Linked DNA regions of Callithrix jacchus. The protein of the gene in region 1 purifies or fractionates together with the protein of each later gene. This does not show direct contact. Links are inferred from orthologs where the notes say so. Each region holds a gene or a part of one and is shown on either strand. Other genes may lie near its edges.

Region 1 (3,363 bases):
TTTGCCATTAGAAAAGGAATTTGAGAAATATCTACTAATGACTTACCGTACTTTATTTGCACAAACAATGTAAGACATTGTGTTTGAATAATTTTGAGTCTGAGAGAATGTCATGTTGGAAATGTATTCTCACGCGATATCCAGTATCTGGGATACTATAGATATATGGTGGTTGAAGGTACCAGTTATCTGTCAGCATACAATGCTGCATAACCACCAGAAAAACATAATGGCATACAACCAAAAGCACATTCATTTTGTTCACGAAGCTGTGGAATTCAGCTGACCTGAGCTGATCTCAGGTGATCTAGGCTGGTTTCACCCAAATGTCTCGGGCTCCTCTGGTTGTTGGTTGCTTCAGCTTGGACAGCTGGGGTGACCTAACTCTGCCCATCTCGTGTTTAATCTGTGGTCAGCTAATACAGGCATAGCCTCATGGCATAGTGGAAGTTAAGGAATGAGCAAAAACAATTGTGCAAGCCTCTTTCAAGCCCCTGTGTCAATATTCTGTTAGGCCAGAAGAAGCCACTTTGAGAGGTCAAAAGTCAGAGTAGGATAGCACTGCAAAATTCTTTAGAAAGGACATGGATACAGAGAGGAGTGAAGAGTGAGGGCTATCTGTGCATCCAGTTCACTGCATTAAAAATCTCAAGAAATCAATCATAAAGAACACCATCCAGGGTTCAGGCTCAGCATTGTTCATTTGTTAACTCAAGTGAATTATTTAATCATTCTAAAGCCTAATTTCCTTACTGGCCCTTCTCAAGCTTTAAAAGCCGTTGGCTTTATAAAATCGGGCTTTTAATGAATTTCATGCTATATACAGTCTATTGGAAATACTTCACAGGAAGTTGTCCATTGTACTATCCTTTAGTGAGCCAACATGGCTAGGCTGAATGGCCATAATTGATTATCTAATATTGACATATTCTGTAATTTTATTTAAATTGATAAAATTTTAGTCTGGACTTGGTATGAATTAATTAAGTACTGGAAGTTGAATTTTCAATTGGAATCTTTATTTTTTGCTCCCATCTGATGATTCTTTTGAAGCATACAGTGTGTCAGTATAATGTCAAATGCTGTGATATCTCTTACATGTGAGATGAGTTATAGGGCCATTGATGCCGTGCCTTAATAATTCATTGTTATGATGAATTAATTACTCTAAAATTGACTAGAGGAACTTTGTCAAATTCGCATAATGCACCTAAAAATGTGGGTTAATTTATAGCAGATGTTATGATTTGTTTTATATAAAGCATACAGATAATACAGAAATGAAATCTGCTTTAATTATATAGTATGTAATTATGTAATAGATAATGAAGTGCTGGATTAGTTAACTATAAGAATAAAAACTAAGTGAAAATGTTCCAAATGAAAAATATTTTATAAGTTTCACAAAAAGAAAGTAATATACACAAATGGTCTTTGAAGATGGTTTTCTATGCCTAAAATGACTTCTTATTCTAGTTACTTAGATTGCTTCAAAAATTGTACACCTATATTTCCAAAATAAGTTGATAAACCTATAATTTGTAACTTGCTTTGACATGTCGAATGTTCTGTTTCAGACATACCTAAATGACTTGCCATGTGATAAATCGTTCATAGCTCTGTGAAACATTTATTTTGGACTGATAATTTACTTGTAATATCAATCACTCTGACCTGTGTCATTTCAGCATCATCATGTAGACATATCCAAGAAACTTCACCAGAATCAAGCTGGCCTGGATTCAAAAGTACCAGTTGGTAGTCAGAATGATTTCATGGCTGTAGAGAACGAGAGGAGCTACTGCGGGGCCACAGCAGTAGCCAGTACTAATGTGACTACAGGTCAGTTCAACCACAGTAGTTTAACTGTCCACATGACAAAGGTGCAGTGGACAGATTCTTACTGCTATTTTGTTTGGAATATATGGCTCAGCCAAAGTGACTACCCTGCCCTGCAAATCACATTGAAATAAAGTTTTACATGAGGCATAATATTGAACACTCACAATAATAATAGTAATGTTTATTGTTTTTCGTTATTAGATTTTTCGCCTCATTTATGGTTTTCATGGCCAATGAAGTGTTTTAAGATTGCTTGTATTGTTGTGATAATAAAATTTTGATATTTTTTCTAGAACAATGAACAACAAGAATTACTTTCTTGAAAAGATGTTAAAATAATTGACACGTGTTAAATTTAAGAAAGTGTCAGATAAGTCATTGACTGCAAGCTTGAATTATTATCATTTATAGAGATTGTGATCTGATATTTTTCATCTCTACTGAGGGCAAAACAAAAGCAAATGGACTTGCGGAGGAGTTGATAGCATTCAATTAAGCTACCCAGACTAACTTCCATATGGCAGAAATTTGGGATGAGATAGCAAGGGAAATAAGAAGTTTGTTTCTTGCCAATATTTTAGACACACCAAACCCCCTCAATTTCTATTACACTTTATCTTTGAAACTTCACATTTAGTTCATGGGAAAATTGAAACTGTAATTATTCTTAAGCATACGGTTTGTTCCTTTCTCCTCCTTATTTGGTTTTGTAGCTAGCACGCTTTCTTCTCCAAGGACATGTAAAAGTCAAAATACTAGATATAAAGTCTCTGAAGTGTTCCTGCTCCAAACCCGGTCTGCACAATCTGGGTTCTTTCACGTAGTTAGCTTACAGGCTTCTGACACTCCTATAAATACGTCCCATAGATCTTTTCTTATTACCTTTTCATTGACTCTCTCCGAGTGAGAAAAATGAAATTCTGTAAAGGGCTTTGAAAACCATGCATATTGCAATTCCTCCAAATTTCTAATACTAATCAAGTGTGACTATAAAAGAAACAACCACTGCAGTGAAATCGCTGCAGCATGTAGAGTCTCAAGCCATTATTAATTCATTGGAAACTGTTTTTTTTTTCTTTTTCTTTAAGATTGTGGATTCTAAAAAGTACCAGATAACACAATTCCTGACATCAAAGTTTTTGTTTCAATCAGAGGGAAATGTTACCTAATCTTCTCTTGTATGTGAATCTTTCGGGCATGGTACAGCAGTAGTCCCAGCTTTGTGCCCTGAGTGAGTAGTACAGCGTATGTTACAGACCAGAGCAGCACATGCTTTGAACCATATTACATGGAAGTGATGATTTTAGAGACAAGGATGACCTGGAATTAAAGCAGTGGTTCCAGGCAAATGACACTCCTTAACTTCATTCAAGAGAGTAAAATGGAATCTCCTTTCCTAAATCAATTTGATTTTAACATCCATTTATTTAGAAATTACCCAGTATGAACATCTTGGCAATATTTTTTATTTGCTTTCCCATTTGTAAATGCAATAAATTACTGTCTTTCTTCATTATGGAT
Region 2 (3,650 bases), on another chromosome or scaffold:
TTGAAAACTTTTATTGTGAATTATATGGTCTGCGAACCCTCTGTTCTTGCCTTTATGAATATCAACATAGAAGTTTTTTTTTTGCATTAACACTATTTTCTGTAAAATTTTCTTTTTTTTACGTCAACCGCTGTACTTGATCAGCCCCTTAACACGACTCGTATAAACGCTGCTGAAATAGAAAGCAGAGTTCGAGAACTAAGCAAATTAGCTGAGACCACAGATAAAGTCAAGCAAGGCTTTTGGGAAGAATTTGAGGTAAGTTATTAAAACTGTTTTTATGTGAGTTGTTATGTCCTATTTTTAGTGGAGGAGAAGTTGGTCTTATGTTTGGAATTGGACCTGAGAGACTTGAAACTGACGTTCTTTTTTAAATTCGGCCATTGATTGACGTGGAACAAGTTGCTGAGAGGGCTTCTTCGAAATAGAAGAGCATTGTGTTCTGAGGGAAGGGAGTTGGCAATGAGTAGTCAGTGGATGCGCCAACAGCTCCATTTGGCTCTTTTGGTTTTGACTGGTGGCAAAATCTCAAAGAAACAAAAGGATCTAATTTCTCTGGAAGATTTCCAACATACACTGGGGTCTTTAGAAAGAATCTGTGGCTTTACTGCAGCAAATGAGTGTGAGTAAAAGAAACACCTTGTGGTGGCTTTTTTTTTGAGACAGGGTCTCACTCTGTTGCTGAAGCTGGAGTGTAGTGGTGTGATTTTGGCTCACTACAGCCTTGGCCTTCCTGGGCTCAAGTGATCCTCCCACATCAGCCTCCTGAGTAGCTGGGACTCTAGGCACATGCCACCATACGTGGCTAATTTTTGTATTTTTGGTAGAGATGATGTTTTACAGTGTTCCCCAGGCTGGTCTTGAACTCTTGGGCACAAATGATCCTCCTACTTCAGCTTCCTGAGTAGCTGGGAGTACAGGCACATAACACCATGCCCGTCTAATTTTTGTATTTTTTTGTAGAGATGGGGTTTTGCAAAGTTGCCCAGGCTGGTCTTGAACCCTTGGGCTCAAGTGATCCACCTGTCTTGACTTGGCAAATGTGGTTGCTTTAATTTTAGAGTTCAAATTGATAACTCTGGTAAGTTAAATGAACTGATTTTTAAAAAATTATTTTTGTTTATTATACTTTAAGTTCTGGGATACATGTATAGAAAGTGGAGGCTTGTTACATGGGTATACATGTGTCATGGTGGTTTGCTGCACATATCAACCCATCATCTAGGTTTCAAGCCCCTTATGCGTTAGATATTTGTCCTGATGCTCTCCCTTTCCTTCCCCCCGCATCCCCTGACAGTTTGTGATGTTCTCCTCCCTGTGTCCATGTGTTCTCATTGTTCAACTCCCACTTATGATTGAGAACATGTGGTGGTTGGTTTTCTGTTCCTGTGTTAGTTCACTAAGAATGATGGTTTCCAGCTTCATTTATGACCCTGCAAAGGACATGAACTCATTCTTTTTATGGCTGCATAGTATTCCATGGTGTGTATGTGCCACATTTTCTTTATTCAGTCTATCATTGATGGGCATTTGGGTTGGTTTCAAGTCTTTGCTTTTGTAAATAGTGCTGCAATAAACATATGTGTGTATGTGTCTTCATAGTAGAATGACGTATAATCCTTTGGGTGTATACCCAGTAATGGGATTGCTGGGTCAAATGGTATTTCTAGTTCTAGATCCTTGAGGAATTGCCACACCATCTTCAACAATGGTTGAACTAATTTAGACTCCCACCAACTGTGTAAAAGCATTCCTGTTTCTCCACATCCTCTCCAGGATTTGTTGTTTCCTGACTTTAAGTAAATTGATTTATTTCCTGAAACTAACTTGGGTTGGAGAATGTCCCTGATGGGAATGTGCTGTGTTCCCATTACACTTTTCTATGTCACTTACCCATTGATAATGTGATCTCTTTCATTTTCTTGTCATACATTTGACAGAAAACTTCAAAAACAATGATTCTGGAATATTTACCTTTGCAGTTGTTTCCAGCATCTAGCACAATGCCTGGTATACAACAGAAACTCCATAAATGTTTGTTGAATGAGTATTTACATTTAACTCATGTTCACATCATTTTATTTTTCTGTTCTATGTTATGGGAATGATTATTTTATGCTTTTCGTAAGACTACAATTTATAAATATTTGTGGAATGAATGAATGAGTAAAGTGAATAACTGGGTAAATAAAGTCCTTTAGCCACAGTATGTCTGAACACTTGCTGAGATAAATATGATTTTCCATTTTTCAGCTGAGGGGCCTAAGGGAGGTTAAGTAAACATACCACAGGTGTTTTGTTTTTTCCTGAGACAGGGTCTCACTCTGCTGCTTAGACTGGAGTACAGTGTGCAATCATAGCTCACTGCAGCGTCTAACTGCTGGGCTCACACCATCCTCTCACCTCAGCCTCCTGAGTAGCTGGGACTACAGGTGTGCGCCACCATACCCGGCTAATTTTATACCCGGCTAATTTTTTTATTTTTTTTAGATATGCGGTCTCACTGTGTTACCCAGGTTAGTCTTGAACTCCAAAGCTCAAGCAATTCTCCCATCTTTGCCTCTCAAAGTATTGGGATTATAGGCATGAGCCGCTGTGCCTGGCCCATATCACAGATATTGATTGAATTCCAGTACTGGGGAGGAATGCAGAATAGAACATTCTGAGTTGGCCAGGCCTGTGGCTCATGCCTGTAATCCCAGCACTTTACCAGGCTGAGGTGGGCTAATCACCTGTGGTTGGGAGTTTGAAACCAGCCTGACCAAAATGGTGAAACTCCATCTCTACTGAAAATACAAAAAATTAGCCGGGCATGGTGGCGCATGCCTGTAATCCCAGCTACTCGGGAGGCTAAGGCAGGAGAATCACGTGAACTTGAGAGATGGAGGTTGTGGTGAGCCAAGATCGTGCCATTGCACTCAGCCTGGGCAATAATAGTGAAACTGCATCTCAAAAAACAAAAAAAAAAGAACATTCTGAGTTTTTGCTCAACATTGCTGAACAGAGACTTGAATTATTCTCTTATCCCAGGTATTGGGTTAGGCTTTGGAGACACTAGTGAACAAGATAGACAGGGTTACTGCCTTTAAAGGGATCATCTAGTTGAGAGAAGGAAAACAGTGATTAAAAGCATCAATAAAAAATGGATGATAGGCTGGGCGTGGTGGCTCACTCCTCTAATCTCATCACTTTGAGAGGGTGAGGCAGGTGGATCACTTGACTCCAGGAGTTTGAGACCAGCCTGGGCAACATGGTAAAACCCTGTCTCTACAAAAAATACAAAAAGTAGTCTGGTGTAGTGGTGCACACCTGCAGTCTAAGCTACTCTGGGGTTGAGGTGGGAGGATTGCTTGAACCTGGGAGGTTGAGGCTGCAATGAGCTGAGATCATGCCACTGCATTCCAGCCTGGGCAACAGAGCCAGACCCTGTCCCCCCCCAAAAAATTTGACGATAAACATAGTGAGTCAGAATTTTGAGATCTCAAGCTCAGTGTTGCCTTCTTTGTGCCCTACCTGACTAGATAATAAGAGGCAGCATTTCAGCAGTCATTCATTTCATTATGTTCATTTCATTTCACCTTCATCAAGCCTCATGAGGCAAGATGGGGAGATACAGAAGTTTTAGAAACCTCTCATCAAAACTGAATGGA
Region 3 (4,448 bases), on another chromosome or scaffold:
CTCCTCAGCCATCCCTATGTGTAGTTCAGTGGCACTTGGGGTCAACTGCTTGTCTTACAGACTAGGAAACTAGATTACAAAGCACTGAAAGCAGAGGCTTTATCTGGTTGGTCATTTATCCTGCAAAGCCCCTTGCATACAGGTGATGCTCAATAAAAACTTGGTGAAAGAACATTTCAACATTTCATTTTCTGTGTTTCTTTCTTTCTTTTTTGAGACGGAGTTTCGCTCTTGTTACCCAGGCTGGAGTGTAATGGCACGATCTCGGCTCAAGGCAACCTCTGTCTCCTGGGTTCAGGCAATTCTCCTGCCTCAGCCTCCTGAGTAGCTGGGATTACAGGCATGCACCACCATGCCCAGCTAATTTTTTGTATTTTTAGTAGAGACAGGGTTTCACCATGTTGACCAGGATGGTCTCGATCTCTTGACCTCATGATCCACCCGCCTCGGCCTCCCAAAGTGCCGGGATTACAGGCTTGAGCCACCGTGCCCGGCTCATTTTCTGTGTTTCAATGGGCTTGTTTCCTCTGTACAATCAGATGCTTGGTTATTCTCATCTCAACGCTATTTTTTTGGCTTCCAGAAGACACATTAACACTAGGTGTGTTCTGTTCTATCCTTTAATTGGAAAGAGCTTTGATAACTGAAAAACAAGAATTATTTACCGAAGCCTCATCTTCTGCCACTCCCCCATACTCACCGGCCTCATACAGGAATTGAACTACTTAGCACTGCACAGCACACGACTTTCACGCCTCCGTTCCGCTGTACTTAGCCTCTGTACTTACGTGCCATTCCCTTTCCCTGAAATGCCCTTACTCTGGCTTCTCTGCCTGGCAAACTCCTACTCATCCCCCAAGACTCAGCTTAGACATCGCCGCATCACCTCTGTAAAGGCTCTTTTGCAATGGGCAGAGTAGCCATTCTTCTTCCATCTTTTTAGCTTTCTCAGCAAACTCCAAATAACAGTACTTATGGCATTATTTGTTTATTTTTCTCTGCTTCCCTAGACCGTAAATTCCTTAAGGACCAGGATTTCTGTTCTATATCCAGCACAGTGTTCAGCCTATATTAGGCACATAATTAAATAAATGAGTAAACAAACCCACCAATCATTCAACATTGCAGAGTTTGTACGGATTCTCAAATATTTCAAGACCTGGTCTTCTGTTTGGAGTGCTTCAGGCTGGAAACTCTCTTCCTCCCCCCAGCCCCCATCCATATCCAATTGCCTTGGTTTGGTAGAGGAGAAAAGAAAGTGATTAGACGGGGTAAGAATTTATTCCTTCAGGACTAAGCTGTTATTTACCCGCTCTGGTACCGAGAGGGTTACGGCGACCCAGGGGCGGAGCCGTGACGAGGCCACCTGCTGCGGGCGGTCTGGCGCATGCGCCCTGGGGCCTAGCTAGTCACTACCTGCCGGAGCCCGGCCCAGGAGGAGCGCTTGCGCTTTGGGCGTTTTCCGCCGGGGGAAGTCTCGCGGGGGCGGGGCGGGGCGGGGCCTCGTGGAGAAGTTCTCGCGGGACACCCACGGCGAGCGGAAGCGAGGCGGCTCTGCTGCTTCGGCGACCGGGCGGCGGCGGCGGCGGCGGCGGCGGCTGTGGCTGAGGCTGTGTCTGTGTCTGTTTCTGTGTCTGTGACCGTGACGGCGGCGGGAGCAAGCGCCGCCCTCGCGGAGCAGCCTCGGGGTCGGCGGCCGCTCTCAGCGTTGAGGTGGGTCAGGCCCGACGCGGAGCGGACTAGCTGCGCCACGGTGAGTGCGGGCGGCTGCGCTCGGCGCCGCTCCTGTGTCTCTTCCTCTCCGCTCTGCGACGGGAGTGGGCCCTGGGGGAACCGGGACCCCGGCCCTTGGGGTCGGGTCGGGGCGGCGAAGCTCGGGACGCGGAGTGGAATGCCCAAGGCTCTGGACTCTGCGTTTCCCCTTTTGGGGCGCTTCCTTCCTGGGGAACGTCCTCCTCCGGCTCTCGGCTGTCTGTGCAGTGTCCGGGAGCCCGGGGGTAGAAGTCGGGGCTCCCTCGTGAAGTCCCCTGCCTTCGTCGGAAGGGTTTGCACGAAAGGGGCCTGGGAAGCCCGGAAGGGCAAAACCCCGACTGAGTCAGTCCGCCCGATCCCGGCGGCGGGGGACTTGGTGTGGGCTGCAGCTGTGGTGATTGATGCGCCTCCGACCTGCATGACAACCACGTCACCATCTCTTGGCGTCTTTGGGCTTAATTTTGTGCGGGAATCCACGGTGGGGTAGAACGTTCATCTCCCCGGGGGAGATGTCTTTATTCTGAGACTTAAAAAAAAATTATTTGAAAAATTAAGCAGCAGCAGGTTGGACTGCACCGAGGAAACATTGCGGCGAGAGCGGGCGCTGGTAATTTTCATTTGCAGCGCGCCCTCTCTGTGATTGTAAACCACATATGAGTTATGGCTTGTTTGGAAAGTTTTTCAAGCCTGGCTTCAAAGGCTATGAAAGTGCAGTTTGCAGAGGACTGAAGTGCATTTGAGGTGTGTCTCTTCTTGATGCTGTTGACTTTCAGAAATGTCAGACACATGAGAGAAATCAGCATTAGTCCCTGGCTTTCTTAACCCCTCTTTCACTCAGTACTTCTCCAGTTATTTCCTTACCTCTCTATCTACTTCTGTCCATTCCACTAGGGACAAGAAGTGCTTGTGTAATGCAAGTCATTTGCCCCTTCCTTCCCCCACCCCCCTCTTTTTTTTTTCTAATCTACTTCCCCTTCCTCCTTGGTAGTCCCCACTCTGGCGTAATTTTTCGAGGTTTCTTCCCTTTCGCACTGTTAGTTTTCTCTGATTTCAAGATTCCGTCCTTTTTCTCGGGAAGAGATCCTCTTTCCTGCTTTGGTGCCTTTACTTTTGCGCTTTCCCCTGCGTTCGCTAGTCAGCCAGAAGGGTTGCTAGAGAGCCATTGGAGGCTGAGGTTCCCCCGCTGAGAAGGGGGTGGGGGGCTCAAAAGATTGAATTCAGCCGGGTGCGGTGGCTCCCGCCTGTAATCCCAGCACTTTGTCAAGAGATCCAGACCATCCTGGCCAACATGGTGAAATCCCGCCTGTACTAAAAATAAAAAAATTACCTGGGTGTGGTGGCGCGCGCCTGTAGTCCCAGCTACTCGAGGCTGAGGCAGAAAAATCGCTTCAACCCGGGAGACGGAGATTGCAGTGAGCTCAGATCGCACCACTGCACTTCAGCCTGGCGACAGAGCGAGACTCCGTCTCAAAAAAAAGATTGAATTAATCCCTAAGAATTCAGTCCTGCCACTAGGTTACAAGTGTGGTTTGTTTGTTGTTTTGTGTTTTAGTTTTTTAAGATTATGCTTTTGTACCTATTTATGCTTTCTTCCAGTATGTCTTTATAATAGTAAGGAATATTGGGTCAGCTCAGGGCTTATGTGACTTTTTGACTTTTAGTGGGGGGTGTTAATGTTAAAAAGTGAAGGTCAACTATAAGTCTATATTAGGTTAAAATAGTCTGAAAAATGTAAGAGGCTAGAACTGATTTAGACCATCGAATTAGTTGAAGCCTGCGCGTTGTAGTAGTACTAATTTATTCTTTGTTAGGCTTTTAGTTAAAAATCAGGGATCTTTTTTCTGCATCTATTATAACTGGCCTTCGTTGTTGTTTTTGACAAAGAAATCTCTATTTGCTCCTTCCCAAGTTCAAAATGTTCCCAATCTCAAGATTTAAAAGAGTTAATTCTTATGATCAGCTATCTCCTAGTATGTATGTATGTATGTATGTATTTATTTATTTATCTATCTGAGACGAGTCTCACTCTTGCACAGGCTGGAGTGAGTGGTGCTGAGGATCTCGGTTCACTGCAGCCTCCACCTCCTGGGTTCAAGCACTCTTGTGCCTCACCTTCCCAAGTAGCTAGGATTACAGGCTCTCACCACCACACCTGGCTAATTTTTGTATTTGGTGGAGACGGGGTTTCACCATGTTGGCCGCGCTGGTCTCGAACTCCTAACCTCAAGTGATCTGCCTGCCTCAGCCTCCCTAAGTACTGAAATTACAGGTGTGAGCTCCTGTGCGGAGCCTAAACTCAGACATTTAAATGTTTGAGGCACTTAACTTGTCAGCAAGTTATTCCGATTTGAGAGGTTTGCTGGGTTTTAAGTACTACCAGTTGCTGGTACTTAGAGATTCTTTTCAGTAATTCCTGTTATGTTGCATATTGTGCATTGGAGTTCTAATTGTTGCATAGAACAGAAGAGCAAAGGATTTTGGAGAAAGGAAGTAATACAGAATAGAGTCACCATGCTCTCCTGAGAGAAATTAATTCTTAACTGCTTAATTCAGAGGAAGTCTCCGCCATTACCAAGTGGCTTTTGAGAGTGTATTTTTGTGTGTGTGTCAAAGTTGCCTTTTTCCCAGTTGTGCCAAGTGAATATACGTTATTTTCATTTCATGCAAGGACGTTGTAGTGCATTATCTGGAATGCA

What was found.
Region 2: the proteins of THEMIS (region 1) and PTPN11 purify together in Homo sapiens (co-immunoprecipitation; 3 studies listed by BioGRID and IntAct, counting the BioPlex papers as one, with this or other methods). This does not show direct contact. The link is inferred for Callithrix jacchus from reciprocal best matches to the Homo sapiens genes THEMIS and PTPN11.
Region 3: the proteins of THEMIS (region 1) and GRB2 purify together in Homo sapiens (co-immunoprecipitation; 6 studies listed by BioGRID and IntAct, counting the BioPlex papers as one, with this or other methods). This does not show direct contact. The link is inferred for Callithrix jacchus from reciprocal best matches to the Homo sapiens genes THEMIS and GRB2.

The regions. Positions count from the first base shown.
Region 1 is NC_133505.1:134,242,971-134,246,333, reverse strand, and holds part of THEMIS (protein THEMIS), read left to right. Parts: intron 1-1,688; coding exon 1,689-1,973; 3' UTR 1,974-3,363.
Region 2 is NC_133510.1:115,408,109-115,411,758, forward strand, and holds part of PTPN11 (tyrosine-protein phosphatase non-receptor type 11), read left to right. Parts: intron 1-144; coding exon 145-258; intron 259-3,650. UniProt on the Homo sapiens protein: Acts downstream of various receptor and cytoplasmic protein tyrosine kinases to participate in the signal transduction from the cell surface to the nucleus. Positively regulates MAPK signal transduction pathway. Dephosphorylates GAB1, ARHGAP35 and EGFR.
Region 3 is NC_133506.1:131,303,685-131,308,132, reverse strand, and holds the start of GRB2 (growth factor receptor-bound protein 2), read left to right. Parts: upstream 1-1,539; 5' UTR 1,540-1,753; intron 1,754-4,448. UniProt on the Homo sapiens protein: Non-enzymatic adapter protein that plays a pivotal role in precisely regulated signaling cascades from cell surface receptors to cellular responses, including signaling transduction and gene expression.